Linked DNA regions of Xenopus tropicalis. The protein of the gene in region 1 interacts with the protein of each later gene in a pairwise test. Links are inferred from orthologs where the notes say so. Each region holds a gene or a part of one and is shown in the gene's direction. Other genes may lie near its edges. The genes, in order: znf410, sertad1 and tsga10.

Evidence for each region.
Region 2: the proteins of znf410 (region 1) and sertad1 interact in binary tests that used the Homo sapiens proteins (3 or more experiments, as listed by UniProt). The two-hybrid records come from large-scale screens. The link is inferred for Xenopus tropicalis from reciprocal best matches to the Homo sapiens genes ZNF410 and SERTAD1.
Region 3: the proteins of znf410 (region 1) and tsga10 interact in binary tests that used the Homo sapiens proteins (3 or more experiments, as listed by UniProt). The two-hybrid records come from large-scale screens. The link is inferred for Xenopus tropicalis from reciprocal best matches to the Homo sapiens genes ZNF410 and TSGA10.

Annotation. Positions count from the first base shown.
Region 1 is NC_030684.2:81,886,936-81,893,989, forward strand, and holds the end of znf410 (zinc finger protein 410), read left to right. Parts: intron 1-712; coding exon 713-872; intron 873-1,805; coding exon 1,806-1,987; intron 1,988-2,066; coding exon 2,067-2,156; intron 2,157-2,234; coding exon 2,235-2,333; intron 2,334-3,525; coding exon 3,526-3,647; 3' UTR 3,648-4,113; downstream 4,114-7,054. Other genes in the region: protein FAM161B, read right to left, coding at 5,690-5,839. UniProt on the Homo sapiens protein: Transcription factor that binds to the sequence motif 5'-CATCCCATAATA-3', and is specifically required to silence expression of fetal hemoglobin in adult erythroid cells.
Region 2 is NC_030684.2:78,241,323-78,247,843, forward strand, and holds the end of sertad1 (SERTA domain-containing protein 1), read left to right. Parts: exon of another isoform or gene 1-285; intron 286-1,223; 5' UTR 1,224-1,227; coding exon 1,228-2,019; 3' UTR 2,020-3,402; downstream 3,403-6,521. UniProt on the Homo sapiens protein: Acts at E2F-responsive promoters as coregulator to integrate signals provided by PHD- and/or bromodomain-containing transcription factors. Stimulates E2F1/TFDP1 transcriptional activity.
Region 3 is NC_030678.2:112,845,753-112,853,071, forward strand, and holds part of tsga10 (testis-specific gene 10 protein), read left to right. Parts: intron 1-672; coding exon 673-738; intron 739-2,248; coding exon 2,249-2,399; intron 2,400-3,618; coding exon 3,619-3,794; intron 3,795-5,066; coding exon 5,067-5,222; intron 5,223-6,381; coding exon 6,382-6,555; intron 6,556-7,319. UniProt on the Homo sapiens protein: Plays a role in spermatogenesis. When overexpressed, prevents nuclear localization of HIF1A.

The DNA of each region.
Region 1 (7,054 bases):
AATCTACTTATAAAGGGGAAATAGATTTATAACCTTTACAGAAATGGCATTTGCATATTTTGTCCCTTGTTATTCTAGTGTTACACTTAGGTATAGTTTGTTAAATCTGTAGTTTTCAAAAATGTCCTGGAGCACTCCTGGTGTGTTATCAGCCTAATAGAGTGCAAAATGACCCATGGCCTTTATTTTCTCAGGCAAAATGTATTTTATGTTATTTCTGGGTTTATGTTTATACAAACTTATTTGGAAGTTAATGTAGTTGCAGCAATTTCTACCTACTTGAAAAGAGGTAAGTGGTAATATCCTTTCTGTAGGCTGCCTGTCCTGTCAGTGCAAATGTATGGGGTTAAACCTGTACACCCCTGAAGGCAGGACAAAAAAAACAATAACTTTATAGCTTCTTATACCTCTGCACTGACAGTATGGACCTAAGAGAAAGGGTTTACCAGTAAGAAAATCCCCTTTTACTGGGCAAATGAAGGGCAGGTATGCTTACACACACTTATTTGCACAGATCATGTTTAGTAAGCAATTCACTGAGATGGTTGCATTCATCCTGAATCAAGTCATTGATGGTGATACACAGCTAGGTTCAGTAAATTACTAACCATAATCCTCAGCAAGTCTGAAAACAGATGGAAACATTAACAAAAGATTGCTTCTATTTTTTGTTATATAGAATTAGTTATTTTATTTGCTCTTATTGTTCTAGGAGAAACAGCTCTGAGCAGTTTTACAGAAACAGAGTCACGAACTTCCCTTCCTCCACCAAACCAGTCCCCTCGAGAGAAACGACTGCATTGCTCTTTCCAAGGCTGTGACAGGTCTTTTGTGTATCCCACACACCTCCGTTACCACCTGAAAACTCATAGGTGGGTTGTTTCTATGGTATTTCTCAAAGACATGCTACTTCAAGTATAAATGCAATCAAAATAATGTAGTAAGGTAATCTTCCCCCTCTTGGTGAAGGATAAAAGTTTTAAAATGTTGAGGTTTTAAGTTCCCCTTTGCTGTCCAGTGTCCAGGCTTTACCCCGCAACCCACTCCTCCAAAGCCTTAGAGGGCAGACTGTATGAACAATAGAATGCTGTAAGCTGTGGCATTGAGTGTGCCAAAAGAGTAACTCATAATTTAAAACAGGGGTCCTCAAACTTTTTAAACAGGGGGCTACACACTGTGGTAAAAAGGAAGTAGTGAATTCTTGTTGGAGGATTAGTAATCCTGTCAGGCAAGCACTGTGACACAGAATGAGGTGGAATTATTGTCAGTAACTTAAAATAAGAGGATTTCTATATACTTATTGGTAGATGTGCTACAAATTTCCGCAGTACCTGTTATGACACTAGGCTACCTTGAATATAGAGTCACTTGGTAATGTAGCGAGTGAGATGGACCAGTTGAATTGTTTTTCTTGTATCTCCATACCCACACCGGGCAGCCAAAGGGCTGGTTATTATTCTAATTATTATGAATTATTCATGTATTGCCTGTGTAGCCTGCATACTTTAAAATGAATGATATATAATCTCTGTAGTCTCTGCCCCAGTGGTACTTACAGTCCAAGGTACCCATCAACTTTACACACATTATGGACAATTTTATTAGAAACTCATGCAAGCACAGGGAGAACATACAAAATCCTAGTAGATAGTGCCCTTCCTGACACTGAACCCAGTACTACAGGCAAGGCAGCAGTGTTTACCATTGCACTACCATGTACTGGTGGTTATATTTGCCAGTGATTATGTTATGGCTGTTAAAAGAAATGTATCCAACTTTGCTTGTGCTTCTTTTTTAATTTTTAGAAATGACCGTTCTTTTGCTTGCCCGTCAGAAGGTTGTGGGAAGAGATTCTATGTCTTACAAAGACTGAAAGTTCACATGCGCACTCACAATGGGGAAAAGCCTTTCCTTTGTTCAGAGCCAGGCTGCGGGAAACAGTTCACCACAGCAGGGAACCTGAAGAATCACCTCCGTATCCATACTGGTGTGTGTGCCTGTTTCTACAGACCTGGAATAGATATAAGGAAATATTTTTTTTAACCCCTGCACATATGTTTCTGCAGGAGAGAAACCATTTCTCTGTGAGATGGAGGGGTGTGGACGCTCTTTTGCAGAATATTCAAGTCTTCGGAAACACCAGGTTGTCCATTCAGGTACCTTAATTTATTTTCTTTAGCATCCAGTATTGCAGCATTGATTCTTGTGTTTAAGATCTTAATCTTGTTTTTCAGGGGTAAAATCTCATCAGTGCCCTGTGTGTGGTAAAACTTTCTCTCAGAGTGGGAGCAGAAATGCCCATCTAAGAAAACATCACTCGAGGAGCATTGATGGTAAGTGGATGCGTTGAAAACAGGGCTTGTCCTTTTTTATTATTTTTAGCCATCCGAGTATTACTGTAGGGAAAGGTTTTAAACAGGCAGTATAAATCAAGGATAAGAATATGGCATCTAATTTGTATCTGATTGCATTGCTGCTATTGTGGCAGAAATTAGGGAACTTAGTATTTTTTTTGTGTAGCGTTCCACCAATGAACAGCAGAATGAGTGGTGTATTTTAGGGTAGACATCACTTTGTGCTTTATAACTCTCTAATAACAAATATCGTATCACTTCTGATCTCACATTTTAGTTGAAACGTGTTAAAGAAATTATGAGTTCCATGATAAATTAAAGGTACTATGGTTTAAATCAAATACAAGCATTGTATTACTATTATTAAACAGTGAAAAATATAAAAGGTACTGATCTATTTAATACAATATAGGAAATATCTCCCCCGCCTTAATGGCATTATTTGTACTGCATATATCCCCCTGCCGTTTTTCCTCTGATACATTAGATACATTTAAATCTCAAACAGCATACACACACACACTCACAGACCCTTATTCAGCATATTTTTCATCAAGAATACAGGCTCACACAGGCTGAACTGTCTGATAAAAGTTCTGCTTTGTTTGAGCTGAGCTCAGGAGAGGAAGTTAGGAGAAAAAAATTGAAGCAGACAGCTAGAGCTGAGTTTCTATGGGAACCATCAATGCCATCTCTTTACTGACTGCTAGACTGGAGGGCGTTTGGTAATCTGAGCTGAGAACAACTGAGCATGCCCACAAGCCAACAGCCAAAGCAAATTCCTGAGGGATGGGGCTGAGTGGGTTACAGGAGGAGAAGGAAATCTAAGTGATTAAGGGATGTTGTAGCCTTACTATTAGCATCTGGACAACCAGTGTGGCAGGTATTGAAATATTTCAAAGAGGCTGTTCACTGATTAAATTTTTGTGTGTGGGGATTACATGTCCTTTAAGGGTTATTTCTTATTGACCATTCAGTGAATATTGTTTCATATATGACAACATGCTATACCTGTAACAGCCCACACTGGGAATATGAATGTTCTGGTGGACTCCAGAGGGGCTACTGAAAGATGCCTAGACATGTGCTTTATTAGGCCTGTTGGAGGCCATAAAGTGACAATGATCCAAGGATTTTAACTGTTTATGTTCATGGTTTTGTTGTTCTACAGACCAAAGTACCTCATCCCACTGTACACACACTGTGCAAGAGACTCTGCAACATTCCCATCTGCTTTCTGTGGGATCGGAAAGACAGTCATATGAAGAGGATGTGTCCATTTTGTTGAACTGAACCCATTTATTTAGACGACTTTTGTTCATTACAAGCATTTTTGTTGGTCTTTGTGGGATTACAAGTATTCCGTCTCTTAAGAACAAAGTATAAGCAAATTATGTTTCATTGGCAAAAAATGAACTTGCCTGCAGAGACAATGTGGAAAAACGAGCCTGGATTATATGAAAATAAGACCCTGAAGCAGAAAAAGCATGGTACTTATCATTCAGTGCAAGTTGATTCTGTGGCTGAAATAAGTTTCCAGCTTGGATTTTCGTCTTTGGGTTTTGCCTCAGTTGGTACTATTTCTAAAGTACAAGGACATAGTTTTGTGTGTAAACTTTTGGTTGCACACACAGGGCCCTGCTCCCAAACTGTGCAATCACACCTTCTCCTTTAATTTATATTCAGATTCATAAACTGCAAACCATCCAATAGAAGGGCTCATTAAACTGCACAATGAAAAATAAACTGTTAAACTGCAGATTTAGTTAATCGGTTTATTGATATTTAGTAAAACCCTGAGAGCTTTGTTTCTGGTATACCTATATAGTGTGAAATTACATGTGAATTGAATATCTCAGGATAGAAGTGGGAAGGGGTATTCACTTGTAACAGTTTTGTGGCTAATAGTGTCCAAGGGATATGATCAGTTAGAGAATATTTAAAAAAAAAAAATGAAAGCCAATTCAGTAGGCACAAAAAGACTATATTCTCTGATGTGTAATTATATAATGGCCATTTTCCTGGCCAAACCGAATCCTAAAAATCACGTGACTTTTTGTCATATAAACACTGAAGTTGGAAATTTCCGTAACCTAATTAGCATATGTTAATTCGGATTTAGTTTGGCTTCAGTTTGCTGTAACTGTTTGTTTTTTGATGTAAAAAGACCAGACGATTTTTCCTTTTTGATGTAAAAAGACCAGACGATTTTTCCATTGCAGTCTTAAGCCATACATAGGCTGATTCAGGCCCTTCAGACCAAGTTGCTGTCTTATCTTCCTATGCATAGTCTGTCCTCAACAGCCTATTTAATATGTATCTTCCTGATAACCAGCCAGTTATCTATTTGGCGGGAGCCTTGACAAGTTGTTGATTCTCAAACTGGGGCCTGAACCCCAAAAAAGTACAAGACACTGCTTTAGAACAACCTCTAACTTTATAGTAAATTACTTGTGTCAGCAACATGTAGTTAATTAATGCATTTTTAACAATATAGATAAGTTCACAAATATGAATTCCTAAACAGCAAACCACTTCTTAATGAATTTCATCTTTCTGCTGAATTTTTTAAACAGTCAAGCTCTGCAGTCAGCAATTCTGTAACAACAATAATTATTAATGAATCACATCAGTAAGTACTGGCATCTCATATGCAATTCAGAAAGAGGATAATTTATTGGCTAGTTATAGAGTTTGATTCTAACTGTAAAAAATATAAACAATTGGTTAGAAAAGAGAAGTATTTATTCAAAAGCATATATATATGCAATGTGATATAAGTTCATTACTTACATAAGGAAATGCATCAAACAATATGAATAAATCAAGACTTATAAATCTAACAACATTTAAGGAACAGTTATACCAAAAATGTATCAAAGTAATTAAATCTTATGTACTGTTGCCCTGCACTGGTAAAACTGTTGTGTTTGCTTCAGAAACACTTCTATAGTTTATATAAATAGGCTGCTGTGTAGCCATTGGGGTAGCTATTCAAACTGAAATAGGGCTAAATGCTAAATTGCACAGGTTACATTACAGATAATGCATAAGCTATGTAAAACACTATTGTATTCAGAGATTCTCTAATAGCTGATATATAACCTTTGCCTTTTCTACAGCTTGAATGGCTGCCCCCTTGGCTATACAGCAACTTCTTTATATAAACTTTTACCACTGCAGGGCAACAGTACATTATATTTGAATATTTTGACTTTAAAAAACGTATTTTTTTGTTGTTGCTTTAATTGCATTCCCCTATGAGACTAATGCAACATAATTAGCATGAAAACCTAGTTCTGGAAATAATATATGAAGTATTTGGCAGTTACCTGCTAGTGTTCCTCCCAGGTTTCTTCTTGGATTGATTCCTTTTTAGTTGCATTTTCATGGACTCCTCCTTTATGTTGCACAAACTCCTCTGTTATCCCAGCCTCTTGCAATGTGCATTTAAATTTCTGCTCTACCTTCTTCACTGCATTTCTCTAAAAAGGAGGAAATAGTGGAGAGTTGATGCTTGGTTTTAATAGCGCAGACAAAAAAACAGTATAATTTTAATCTTTGAGAGGATAGGATACTTAAACATCTCCTGTAGGGCTTAGTTACACCACTGAACTTTATTACACTGTTTGTTAGTTTAGAAATTTTAAAATGATTGATGCTGCTGATTTTGCAGGGTGAAATGCAACTCACAATTAATACCATGCTTTTAAATCAGTACAAAGAAAATTCCCACCTAGGTGTATAAATAAATGATGGAACAGAATTTAGCTTTAGCCCAAGAGAACCTCCCAGTGTCTTAAACCTGCTGCATGGAAATTTCATCGCATGCCATTTCTTTGTATCCCTTTAACTGCTCTTTACAGGATACTAAACTAACAGAAACTATGCTTCCAATATATGACAGAACAAAGAAGGACATGCAGTTAAACATGAATATAAAACTATATACAGATTGAGAAAGAAGGCAGTAGTGTAGGATCAATTCTGAGGGAGGGAAGTCCTGTGGCCCCCCAAGTGACTGGAGATAAAGAGATTCACAAAATCTCCTTTTCTCTAATGTCTATTTGGGGGGCACTGTTGGGACATACCAAAGCCATCCCCCAAGAATAGAGGTGGACAGAAGTGAGGACTTGTTTAGGTCACTGCCTCCTTGAGGACCTTCCTGCCAAAGCAAGCATCCTCTGCGGTAAAAATAATAAAGCAGAACTCAGTAAAGGAATGGATGGAGGACCAGTAGCAGCTTTGCAGAGCTGATCCAATGATGCCTGGCTCCTGAATACCCATAAGGTACTTACTGCTCAGTTATGCTTGCAAGGAAAAAGCTAGAGTTTTAATCACTTTAAACCCCTTGCATCTAAGGATTCAAAAACCATGCCATTAAATGAAGCACACCAAGATTGGGGTGCTGGAAAGGGCATTGAGTCAGAAGGTCAAGGGTCAACGGAAGAGTCCAAGGATTGTCTTGTATCATTGTTAGGAGGTCTGAAAACCAGGTCTGGCGGGGCCAGTAGGGAGCAATTAGAATTGCTCAGACCCAATCCCTTTTGATCTTTCTGATGACTGGAGGAAGTCATCAAGCCTGAAGGCCCAGGGGGGGTTATGGCATCTACAGCCTCCACTTGAGGGCCCCTCACAAGGGCAAAGAAGCGGAGGAGTTTGTGGTTGAGCTTGGAAGACATGAGGTTGACTTCTGGGAG
Region 2 (6,521 bases), about 3.6 Mb from region 1:
TTTTAGAGGCAGTTCTTTAAGTCCCCCCATCCTTCTGTCTACATGCTAGATCCAATTGGTGTATGTGCTGCCTGAAGGGCTAAGGAAAAGAAAATATTTGTGCTTACCAAAATTTCCTTTTTCTTTCTAGTCCAAAAGGCAGCACAAGTATTTCCCTCCCAAATCTCATAAATCATCTCTGATTAATTGTATTGGCTGTCTTTTTCCTGTGCTACAAGGGTGGGAGTGGGACTAAACCCTTTGGTGTATGTGCTGCCTTTCGGACTAAAGAAAAATAAAATTTCGGTATGTATACATTTTTTCTCTATGCCTCTACCATTGATTATACGTTAATGCTGGAAGTTGTAATCCAGTCATATCTGGGTATACAAGGTTGAGAAACAGGATTATAAAAAATTAAGTTATTCTAAAGGTATCCTCATCATGTATCACAGGTGGCCCAAGTGCCTTTGTAAATTGCATAATTGTGTAAATTGTGTAATTGTAAATTGTGTCTGGAATACCATTAGGGCTAAATAATATGAAATGGACAAATAAATATGTGAACATGTTGCAAAAATTGCTAGTCCTACAGGGGTGCCTGTGCACACTAAATTTTCATGGGCCCGTTAATAGTAGGTTTCAAAACATAGACCTACTCTCTATATAAGTACCCATGGTAGTTGAAAAAAAAATCACACTGGTTCTGGTAAGCACACAGTAAGGAAGACGGAATACTAAATAGATGGATAACCTTAGGGACTACATTTCTATTAAAAAACTGCAAATACCATTGTTTTATAAATTTGAAAAATTGGGACCTGCAGATCTTGTCAGATAGACCTGTGAGCCACAATTAGGCCTTAACTTCCTACTAATTGATCCAATCTTTATGTAATTGGTCCTGATGAAGAACCAAGCTTGAGCTGAAATGTTGAATAAAAAATAATTTTGTTTTTCCACATTAAGACCTGTAAGTGATTGGTTCTGCTGTTTATTATAATATCTTATATCTTAAGTACTCATGCATCAGTTTGGCTTTCTTAAATCCCCTTCACTTTTTGCTACTGGAAGAAGCATGTCACACCTCAAAGGATGTCCCCTGAACTGACACCTGCTTTGTAAATATGCTGGTACTAAAGCAGTCTGAATATAATGTATGCAAAATGGCACAGTTATCTTTAGTGAGCACTACTACGTTTATTGCAAGATATATCTTACATATTCCTTTCTTTTTTTATTAGATCCATGTTGGCGAAAGGGATTAAACGAAAACATTCGGAGGTGGATGAAGGGATGGGGAGCAACCCTGATCCTGTGTTAGAAGGGGAGTGTCCATGTTCATTCCCTGCCATCCAGTCTCACTGTTTAATGAACATCTCTCTGGTGAAACTTCACCGTAGTCTTCACCATGTAGAGCCTGATCTGAGGCATCTTGTGTTGGTGGCTAACACGCTACGACGTCTTCAGGGCAACTTGCAGGTGGAGCCATGTGCTCCAGGTACGTGGAAAATCTCTGAGGAGTGCAGAAAAGAGTGTTCTCCTGCAGCGGGACCTGAGAACAAGAAGCCAGCCCTTGAAAACACAGAAGATCCACTCCTTTCCAGCATGGATGCCTCCTTATATTCTTCCATTTCTACCATACTCGAGGACTTAAATAACTTTGATGGACTGAGCAGCCCACCTCTTCCACAGGTTGAAGATGACCAGCTATGTGCCCCTAAAGTCAACCCAGTTTCAGTGAGTACAGAGGATATGATGAAACTGGCATCGTCCAGCTTTTTAAGTTCTTCACCATACCTTTTGGGGGACAACCTAGAGGACATATTTGAAGACATTGATACCTCAATGTATGACAGTGATCCTTGGGCGAGTAATAATCTTTTAAACTTTAAAACATTTTCAAATGTAGGTGATATTGAAGATAAGGATGGTGAAAGCACTGTTCTAGCACTTAGTGAATGGGACTATCTAATGGATGTTTTTGGTGAGAGCCAAGAACTGCTAACAACCTCTGCAGGTTCTTTCAGGACTCAATGAAATATCTTGCAACAAGACACTACTGTAAATAATGTGCACAATGGACATTAATTTATTTCCTAATAAACTGATCTCATAGTCTGAAGGCTTTATATTTATAGCCAGCAAAATGCAACTTTCAGGGAAGTAAAATATTAACATATTTTTAATGTAGAAGAATTTCCTAAACGATTGTGGTTTATTATCTAAAGAAAGGCATGTAATTTTCTTTCGGCACAAGGCCAGTGCAATTCAGTATGTGGAAGTTTAACATTATTTAAATCAGTTGATACATTAGGCAGTAATGTACATCTTCCCCTTCACTGGATGGAAATGCTCCAGTTTGGTTTGGTTATTTTGGGGGTGCTAAAGTGGAGTCTGAAATAAACCCTGACCAGTTTTTCTCCTCATCCCATAATAACTTGACAAATCTTTTGCGCCATTTTCCCAGCCTACAATTTTCTGTTAACTTATTTTATATTATGAAGGAGCTAATGCCATACAAGTTTGGATCACTGTAGTGTCCCTTTAAAAAAGTATTTTACAAACAGAACTAATTTAGAAAATGTAAGCTTTAGGTTTATTTTTTTTATAAAATATGTGAGTAAATAAGATATACAGAAATCAGATATTTTTTCTAAAATTAGAACATATCATGGACGTATGCCCTTGAAGAGTGTTTCAAAAATGACAGCTAACCTCACTTTTCTTGCTTGCAAACGGAGAATGCCCAAACACAAATCGCGCAGGCAACTGGCATCTTTGGTACATCTGGGATGCAGAATTGTATGTATGAAAATGCAAGGTTATCAAGCCATATTAATTACAGCTGTTCTAGTAGAACCTGTCAGATTTGTGAAAGAAAAGTTGTATCCATCATACATAATATACTACATTTTCTGAAGGTATGGCAGTACTGAGTTTTAGATCATACATCTAAAAGGTGTTTTATTGCATTTGTATTCTCAGCTTTGTATTCTCTGAGTAATTTTATTGATGAATTCCTGATAACCAATTTTGTAGTTACTAAAACATGCCGTTAAAGCTTTTTTTTCCTCCTGTACAGCTGGCAAACAGATGTTTTCTGCACACCAGGCCAGACCTTGTTTAACCTTATTTATGCAAATATGTATTCTGTATGTATAAAAGTTTTCTGAACTGAATGGTAACTACAGATAAATTATTCCCTGAAAGGTAACAGGGCTCAGGGTATTTTAAGATATTTAAAGGGCTGTTTATTACAGTCAATATTTAAATCTGAAAGCTTCAAAATCTGCAGATTGTATTTATTGCCATTTTGTGGCCAATATATTGATTTTCTAACTAATATTAATTTGTGGATTGGATTCATATTTATCCTTTGTGAATATTTATGATCAAAATAAAAAAAGGTTTCATAGCTGGTTTTTGGTGTTTTGCTTGCCAAGGAGAGAACAAAGGTGGAAACTCTTATTTACAGGAGGTAATTCTGGGATATATGTAACAGTTTACATTTAATATCTATGGAAAAGTTTGGATTGGGGATATGGACGTGACATGGAACATGGACATGTTACAAGCAGCTTGCTTTCTAGCTCTTTAGTAAGGGATTTCCTATGAATTTATCTTTTTAGTAACATTCCCCTTCTAATATCAAATGAAGGTTGCACTTTTTTCCAGAATATTGTATATTCTCTTGTTCGAAGACCTGTTTTAACAAATGAGCAGCAGGAACACCTGCCCATGTTCCAATAGCCTCCAATATGCTAAATGTTTACTGTAGAGTTGCAATGCACAGATTAAATGTTGCTCTTCTCTGTGCTGTCTGGAGAGTTATCTTTCATTTCTCTGATGCAATTATGGGATCTGTTCTACAGATCCATGTAGATCCAAACTGCAGAATGCAAAAGACCCTCTTTCTGGAAAACCCCAGGTCCCAACAGGTCCCATACGTGTACTGTATGTTGGCAATTCCTGTAATATACTTAAGCCAGAAAAAGTATGTACTTGTATACTGTTGTTGTATGTATGCATGTATATTTTTTTTTTCCATACCTGTAAAAATATGCCTGTACATGCTAAGCAACAGAGGGGATTTAGTTATTGTAACGAGTTTCTGTGAAGATTACCTTAAACTTCCTTGTCATGAATCTCAAATAGAAAAATGATACACGTATTGGCAAAATTGAGGCAAACAGTAGAATATGGTAGAATATGGTATTTAATGTTCTATATGATCTGGATTTTTGCTGAATCTCCCGTGTGCCTCGTTAAATTCTGGGTGTGCGTGCGCAGTAAACATTCATCGATGTCATTAGAAGCAGTTGGGCATGCGCGGGTAACAATTTTTGGCTTCAAAGCATAATTTGCGCGGGCATGTGATGTCATTTCCAGGCATCCAGAAAACTTTTGGTGGAGCAATCAAGCACACCACAAAATCCCCTGCATGTTGTTATTTAAAAGTTGACAACTCTGTATAATATATACTTATATCATATATGATAAGCTCTGACAAAATTAGACATTTAGTTTAATGAAGGCCTAGATTAGAAGGAAACAAAATCTATTTATTGGGTGCCTGAAAGCCAGTAGGGAGATGTCTTTCCTGAGCACAAAGTTAAATGGAGCACTGGCCATGGAGTAACAATAAATAGAAGACCCAGTGGCTCTGGGAGAAATTGTATTATAATGTGAGTGTTTTTTTTTTTGTTTTTTTACTGTGAAGCACAGGGGCTTTTATTTACACCCCTAAGATATGAAATAGGTGCTCTTGCACCCTTGTCTGTACCGTAGCTTAACCTTTGGGGTTTTCTATGATGGGAAACACAGTACCGTGAAATGGGAAAAGGCTGCTATTCTGTAGGAAGACTGCTTCATTCCCCCCACCCCTCCCAGCTGACATGAGTTAGAGTAAAGGAAAAGAACAAGACACTGTCCGTGCGCTGCCTGCTTCCTGCTGTTGGTTTTCAAACGTGTAGGAGAGAGTCCTCCCCCACCCTGCACTCAGGATGTCACTGCATGCCTTTTATGGGTTCAGAGAGCTGAGGCAGAGGCGTGGTGCTGGCTTGTTCTCCCTACCAAAGGCTGGAGACACACAGACGTGCTTCGAATTCTTCATAGGACACTTTTTTTAATATCCGCTCATAGCCCCTGATGTCATTCTTACTTAATTTTCTTTTTCTCTTTCATTGCTAGAGACATCAGCTACAGAACTCAGCTGCATGTATGAGGGAAGAACAATCATGTTAATATGTCTGAATTCTTACTTCTAATAAAACAAAAATATGAAAGCCTAAAGTAAAGCTGATATTTCTAACATTTGTACATGTGGTGGTTGGTGGGAGTGAGTTATAGAATATATGACAACTGACATGGTTTTAAAGGCAAATTGGACAGTGGAACACAGTGTTGGACTGGCCCACAGGGATACCAGTTAAACTCCCAATAGGCCCAGGTGTCAGGCCCTCCTGCCTCTAACCATTTGGCCTAATTTATGGTCATTTCCTATTTATCTATGGGAACAAAGAGACTTAATATAAAGAAAAATAGATTATAGTATGTAAAGGTAAAAGACTAGGAAAATATAGAGGTTGAGTGAGGAGTGGATGAAAAATAGTTTGACAAGTGGGCCCATGGTCTAAGATTTGGTCATCCCAGTCCGACACTGGTGGAACATATTACACTGATGTTTCTACCACAAATATTATTTGTAATGAGGGGAGCACTCACCGGAACGATCCAGCTGTGTAAGGATTCAGCGCTACCATGCATCCAAGCGCCCCCGATCCAGTCACAGCTCAATCAGTCCAAAGCAAAGGTATAGACGGAGCACAGGGATCACCTCTTCGTTAAAAAAATCACTTTTATTGTTTGCATTAAAAGCATCACAGAGTCCTATGTAACAGGCTTAACGTGTTTCATGACTTCTGATGAAGTGGCGAGAAGCCATGAAACATTTTAAGCCTGTTACATAGGACTCTGTGATGCTTTAATGCAAACAATAAAAGTGATTTTTTGACGAAGAGGTGATCCCAGTGCTCCGTCAATACTTTTACCACAAATATTATCTATGCCTTCAGACTGCTGGTGATCACTCATGCAATTACACACCTAAATAAAGTTAATACCAGCAAGTACCCTTCTGATACTTTAACATGTGACTGTTGGTCATAACTTAAAGGGAGAAATGTAATATAAGGTGCAAAGTTTGCTACAAGTCTGGTCACCTTCAGCATCAGAGGGTTGATTCACTAAAGGTCAATATTTTTGAAATTAATGATCAATTCACGAAAACACTTGTCATAATTAAGAAGTGATGTTCTTTTCGTTATTTATCTGGCGATGAGCGATTTTGTGCGTTAATGTTCGTTTTGTGCATTAATGTTTGTTAATTTTCGTAAGCGATATTCTGCATGTAAGCGTAAGGCTCAGGTAAAGGTGGCCATACACGAGCCGATTTTTTACTTTCAAACGACCGATTCCAGAACGATATGATACTTTCGTTAACTTATCGTATAGTTCATGGTGTTTGAACGATCGTTGGT
Region 3 (7,319 bases), on another chromosome or scaffold:
GCAGGGTAGGGCAGGCAGAGTATGGCAAGTTTTTGCTGTACTACAACCATTAATATGGGTATGGTCATGTGATAACATGGGTGTGTTCAAGTGGGTGCGGTTTCAAAAAGGGGAGTAGTCAAAACTGGCTTCCATTATCGGCCCTCCACCACGTAGGTCAGAAAAATTCCGGCCCTCGGTACCACAGAAGTTGGACAGCACTGATGTAAATGATTGAGTTCACAATAGTGTGATCAGTTATACAGATACTTAGGGAGCTAATTTACTAACACAGGTGCTAAATTGTATCTGTGTGGTTGCCCTAAGCATCCAAGAAGATTTTGACTTGCTTTGATTTGCTGTTTAGTCGCCATGGGTAAAAAAATGCACTGGTGTACCTGCCTTTATGTTTTTGAAGTGGGAGAGAAACCCTGCACAAGCAACGGGAGAACATACACACTTTGTACAGACAGTATGCTGGTCAGAATCACACTGGGACCTATTGCAGTACTTCTAACAGCTGTATCACTGTTCTGTCCAGTAAAAAATGCATTTTGTCAATAATATACTTTTACTTAAATGGTTTGGCCTTATATATAGTTAAATACACAATTTGCATGTTACTCTACAGCACACACTACTGGTGGGTAGAGTGGGGTTTCTGTCTGTTGACTAATCCTTTTTTCTTCCCAGAATGAGATTCGCCAGCACCAGAGAACCATAGAAAATTTGGAGCACACCATCAGCAATCTTACATCTGTGAGTACATTACTTACCTACTTAGTTCCAGTGGTGAAAGAGGTCTGTAGAGACCATTTCTAGCTGTGAAATTTTATATACAGGTATAGGACACGTTTTTCAGAAACCTATTATCCAAAAAAGTTACAAATTATGGGAAGGCAATCTGCCATAGATTTCATGATAAGCACATAATTCTAATTTTTAAAAATTATTTCCTTTTTCTCTGTAATAGTAAAACAGTAGCTTGTACTTGATGGCAACTAAGATATAGTTAATCCCTATTGGTGGCAAAATGAACCAATTCAGTTTAATTAATGTTTACATTATTTTTTAGTAGTTAAGGTAAGGAGATCCAAATTACAAAAAGATCCCTTATCTGGAAAACCCAAGTGTCATATCTCAGAGAGACTCTGTGGACTGGCAAGCAGTTAAAGGAAAAGTAACACTAAAATTTTTTAAGTAAAAAATCTATTCTACCCTGCTCCAATAATTGCCCTATCCTGCAAACCATTTAGTATTTTGAATGCTTTATTAAAAAATACCTGCTAAAACTTGGCTTCCGGTCATTTCAAATAAAGTGATACGGCGAAGGAAGGAGCAGCATCCACTATGCCACGATCGATTGATCGAGCCTAGCCTTCCTTCTGTAGGAAAGAGTCAGGCTAGGCTCGATCAATCGATCGTTGCATAGTGGATGCTGCTTCTTCCTTCGCCATATCACCTTATTTCAAATGACCGGAAGCCAAGTTTTAGCAGGTATTTTCTAATAAAGCATTCAAAATAATAAATGGTGTGCAGGATAGAGCAATTATTGGTGCAGGGTAGAATAGATAGAATGTTAGTGTTACTTTTCCTTTAAGAGCCTAAAGGCTAGATAAGACAGCTGGCAAGACAAAGTCAAGGAAAAGGCCAAAGGTAAAACCAGGAGATCCGCAAGGACAGGCACTGGAGATCAGGAACTAGGCAAGGGGAAAGAAACCAGGCAGGGACTCAGCAACAAGGAATCAGATAGGGTCTCAGAAACAAGGAATCAGGTAGGGTGTCAGGAAAAAAGAAATCACTAGATGCACAGGTTGGCAAGATCCTAGCTAAACAGCTTAATGACCAAGCGGGAGGAATACATGAGGTACATCAAGAAAATCAAACAGCAGAAGTACTCCAGGGGCACCATTGGGTGTCCACTGGCAGTCCAAAGAGTACTTAGGTCTCGAGCATTCTTGTTAACAGGTCCCATACCTGTGTTTTCAGAATTGCTTTAATCACACACTAATTATGTTTGCAGTACTGTATTGGAGCAATAGAATAGTAATTTAATTTTCTTTCCCTTCTGTCTTTTTTCTAGCTGGATGATGTTAGTATAAAAAGTTTTTGTTGTTTTGTATGCTTCGAAAACTTGCAGTTTGTTACATCAGGAGGAGAAGAAAATTTGCTTTTAATTTGTGTTTCTGCAATTATTTTGATATCCTTCATTTTGCATAGTTCATAGCTGATGTATGATGATGTTCTGAAATGGTATTTTGCAATTCAGGATGCAAGCCTTACTAAAGAACAACTTGAGCATGCAGAAGTTGCACTCAAAGAAAAACAGGATGAGAACAGGACCCTAAATGTTCTCGTAGACCAGCTTCAAGATGATCAAAACAGACTACGCAAAAAGATTGAAAAGCACGAGAGATCAGGTAACTTCCTATGAAATGACACTAGAGTTATATATTATATTTCTGGTGGCAAGCTATGAGAAGATTAATTAAAGAGATTGAAGGGAGGCAGAGAATATGATATTCGAAGAGTAGAGTAACAGCTTTTTACTGTGGCCCGTTGACCAATGGCAGCAATGTCTAACTATTGCTGTTGGTATAAATCAGGGCTGTCCAACTTGAGGCCTGCAGTCCGATTGTGGCTCTCTAAGGTATTTTTAAGGCACCCTGTTCACCTATGAGCTTTATTGTCTGCTGTGTATGACATCATTATTTATATGTGAGCAAATGCCTCCTCAGGGGCCAGAAAAAACGCACATCAGGTCAAGTGTGGACATGGCTAATTCTAATTACAATGGGAATCTAAGCTAATAGAGGCAATTTTTGAATTAATTTTCTTCTTGCAAGACTACATTCAAGCCAGACTAAATCATAGGCAGGGACAAAGGTCTGTTGGGTAGCATTTGTGCATTTCTTTCAAGTGGCCTACCCCTGGTTTATGGCTATAGCAGTAAGATGGAGTAAGTAGGAGGTGGAATGATTGCTTGGCATACAGATCTGTAATAGTTGTAGACTTGAGGACTGAGTTTGGTGCAATTAGTAATTGTTTCTCTTTGTTCAGTAGTTGTTACCAATCTCCTTTCTCTGACATATGATACTCTCATTAACCTAGAGAATTATAAGTTACATTTAGTAACTTAGTTTGTTAATTTTGTATTAATGTAGACCCACCAAGCTATGGTAATTATTTAATTGAAGTCAGCTATATTGCCTAATGTAACCCTGTGACTTCCACAGTCTTTTTGTTTAAGCTTTTTTGGTTCTAACATAAATTGGATGATCATGGCTCCTTAGTAATAATCACTCTGTGAAATGATAACTTCCTTAATTCTGCTGATTTTCAAGTGTTTTTTGTTGTTTTCCCTCTCATTTCATTTTGTTATTACAATGAAAATCATGTTTTAATTTTCAAATTAGATTCTAATCTTTTTGCGCCTATTTGGTGAATGGAAGCGTGCAACTGGTGCTGTAAAGATTGTATTTCTCTTTTTCCTTTTATTTAGTTTTGACAGTGCAATTCACTTTCTTTGGATATTAAAGGAGAATCAAACCCTTGCACTCATGCTGTACAAGGGGTAATACTGACCCTAAAGGTTTTTTAATCTTTTAAGTGGAGGACAATATTTTTCCTTGTTAACAGAAAAGAACACAGTCTTAGCATGTGAGAAGAGTAATGCTATGGCTCCTTCTAGACTTGACTCCTTCATCAAATCATTGGAAGAGGAACGAGATCACTATAAAAGGGAAGCAGAAAATCTGAGGAAAACCCTGCGACGTCAGAGTCTTAGTCCCAAGCGAGCTAATACCAATACCCAGGTTGGCAACAATGTTAAAAACCCTTATCCACATACATTGTTATGTATTAATTTGTAAATAACAAGAATTAGATTGCTTCCTTTGGAGACCATCCAAAATATTAAAGGAGACATATCATATAAAAATTAAGAATGTACCAGTGAATCATACTCCTCTAGATATAGAAGGATTGTGGCTAATAAAGTTGTGTTTCGGACTGATTTATTGAGAAATTCCACCAAAACCCCACTAGCCCCGCCCATCTGTTCCACTTCCTGCTGGCTGAATTCTCTGGATGTGCAGGGGAGCCGGCGGCCCTCGGTACAGTGCACTGTAGGATAGGAACCAATCAGCAGCTAGGCTGACCTAATAGGCTACTGAAGACTGTCTTTGCTTGTGTGAGTGCAAGGCTGTGATTGGTTATCCCCCTCCTGCTGTGCTTCTGGCAGGGACCGTTAGGAAATGCCCACCCCGGACAGAGAAGGGTCTATAGGGAGCTCAAATAATGGGGCCATTTGTACAGATAGGATTAATATTTAGCCCAAAGTGAAACCAGCACCATATATTATTCATAATTGCCTACAAATTTAGGGGTTTTCCATTTATCCAATATGTTTCCTGTAAAACTTTTTAGAAAACATTGTGCTTGCTTCATGCGCGCACCTATTTTTTGCAGAGTCAGTAAAAGTAATTTGTGCAGGAAGGCAAAGGTTGCCATACTGCTGTAACTTATAGCAACCACATTGACAGTTCGCTTAACTAGACGTTTTAAAACAAATAAACACACAACATTATCTGTGTTTTTGTAAAACCCTTTAATGTTGGTCTCTCACATATGATATGATAGGTGGAATTTTCCCACCCCAAAATCCTTATTGCACCCTAGTCAATAAGATGGTGTGGGGGAATGCAGTCTTATTTTAGCTTATAGCAATTATACATTACATGACATATTTTGTAATACAGGTATGAGACCTATTATTGTTAAGTCTACTAAAAAATCATTTGAACATTCATTAAACCCAATAGGATTGATTTTGCACCAAAAAGGATTAATTATATATTGGTTGGGATCAAGTACAAGGTGCTGTTTTATTATTACAAAGAAAAGGGAAATCATTTTTAAATATTGTAATTATTTAACTAAAATGGAGTCTATGGCAGATGGCCTTTCCATAATTCTGAGCTTTTTGGATAATGGGTTTCAGGATAATGGATACTATACCTGTACTAGTATTTATTTCAGTCCTGTCTTTTGTGCTCCTAGTTTACCCTCTGTTGTATGTATTCCAGTTGTTACAGTTAGAGTCAGAACTCAAGAAGACCCTTCGGGAACGAGATGAGTTGCAAACAATGCTAGAGAAATATGAGCGTCACATGGCAGAAATTCAAGCGAATGTAAAAGTACTGACATCAGACCGGGACAAAGCCAACATGCTTTACGATCGGGTAACTACTGTGTATGACTATAAAAAAGTAATGCCTGGAACAATAAGACACCATTAGAACTTTTATAATTCAGGGTCCTTTATTTTGCTGAAGAAGGAAATGTTTATACTGCACTAAAAAAGGAAGGAATGTTTATACTGCACTAAAAAAATTCTCAGTGAAATCAGCTGAATGGTTTCTTGATTAAATATGTATGGTTACATTTCATTCTATAGTAGGTTAAGATTAGTAAGATAATATATGAAGATGTAGAATGATTGGTGGTGCTGAACTCAGTTCAGTTTTTAAATTTTGCGGATCAAGGAAAATTTGACTGGCATTTAAACTTTATAAATAAAGGCCATCTGGGTGCACTTCTAGTGTTCACAAACTTAAATCATGATAATTCTTGGATATCTGATGAAACCTATTTTATGAGGTACATTTAATAGGGTCATCTGTTAATGAATTGCAGATATGCTATACTGCCCACATTTTATATAATATTCACAGCAGCACTGGATGATTGGCAATGCTGGTTACACATGTTTCAATATTGTAATCACAAGCTGGTCATTTCTTGTGATGGAAGTGTAGGGTTATTATCGAGTGATAACATTAAAGTCAGTTAGGAATACCAGACCAACAAATGGTGCAATTAAGTATATGTTTTGGTTTATTTGCAAACCATGAGCTGCACAGCATAGTTATTCAACTGGGCAGCCAGGTGTAACTAGATCAGTCCAAAATAGTGTTTGATAACAAATCTCAAAATATGCAAACATTGGGCCCTGTTAGAAGATGACACTGGTCCAATTAGAAAATCAGCACTCTTTGTAATCTATCCTTCAGTCAGTTCTCTGTCCAACTACAGATATTATGTTCCAGGCCATTATTCCTTCATGTACTATTGCACATAATACAGTTTTCAGGTTGAGAACGGGATCCCTCTTAAAAAATGGCACCACATTAGCAATTCGCCAATCTCTTGGCACCATGCCAGATATATACTAGAAAATTAAGTACAGATGTTTGGCAATCATAGAGCTAAGCTTTTTTTTTGTACCCTGGGATGAATACCATCCAGTCCTGGATTGCTGAAAGAAAAGCAAAGTTCCAGGAAAGTGGCGTCCTTTAACTGGTTAAAAAATGCATTTTAACATGCAGCATTGTACATCAGGCACAGCAGGAGATAACACAGCTTCGAAGAGAATTCCTACGATCTCCTAAGACTCCCAAATCCAGTGTAACAGCACAAGCCATACTGCAGCGTGTGGAAAATGAACGTGACATTGCAACATCAGATTTACGAAGAATGACCACAGAACGAGATAGTTTAAGGGAGCGGTTAAAGGTATGCAACCATAAACTAACAAATTCATCTATATTGCCAAAAAATTAAAGACATATTCAGATTCTGACTGTCCTTATGTTCTTAGAAATATCATTGTCCATTTATGTAACATATTGTTTGAATGTGATATTGAATTAGTGAGAACAAAAACAAATGGATACAAGAAATAACAAAAATACTTGTATTAATCATCTCATATGTTATAGTTTTTTTATTTAATAAACATACTGACAGACATGCATGCCTATTATCATAAAATGTATCATATAGCTATATACCAGTGCATACTGTATGCAACCAGCCTATAGTACAACATCCTTCAACAAGCATATAGTACTAGACATGTTACTTAAGGAATGCCTCCTACATAGGCACATATTGGTATCCTAATCACCAAAATAGTTCTTACTTGTATAAAGAAGAAGCATATGCTCTGTAGTAACCCTGCTAGTAAAGTTTAGTGCTATGCTTGACAAAAGGTAAGTAGTGAATCCTTCCCCGAACATCAATAACAGGGCTGGAATTTTTCTGGTCTATGCAATAAAGGGCCAATAAGCCAGTGTTGACCATCCCCATTTTTTAAACCACACCTATGTTATCACAAAATTTTAAGACAGTATCCTCATTAATGGTGGTAGCACACCAAAAAAGGTAAATGGCAGCCACATATAGGCAGCGTAAGGTATGCAGAGTATGACACACATACAGAGCATTGGGCAGCCAGAGTATGGCAGACACAGACAGCATAAGGCAAGCAGAGTATG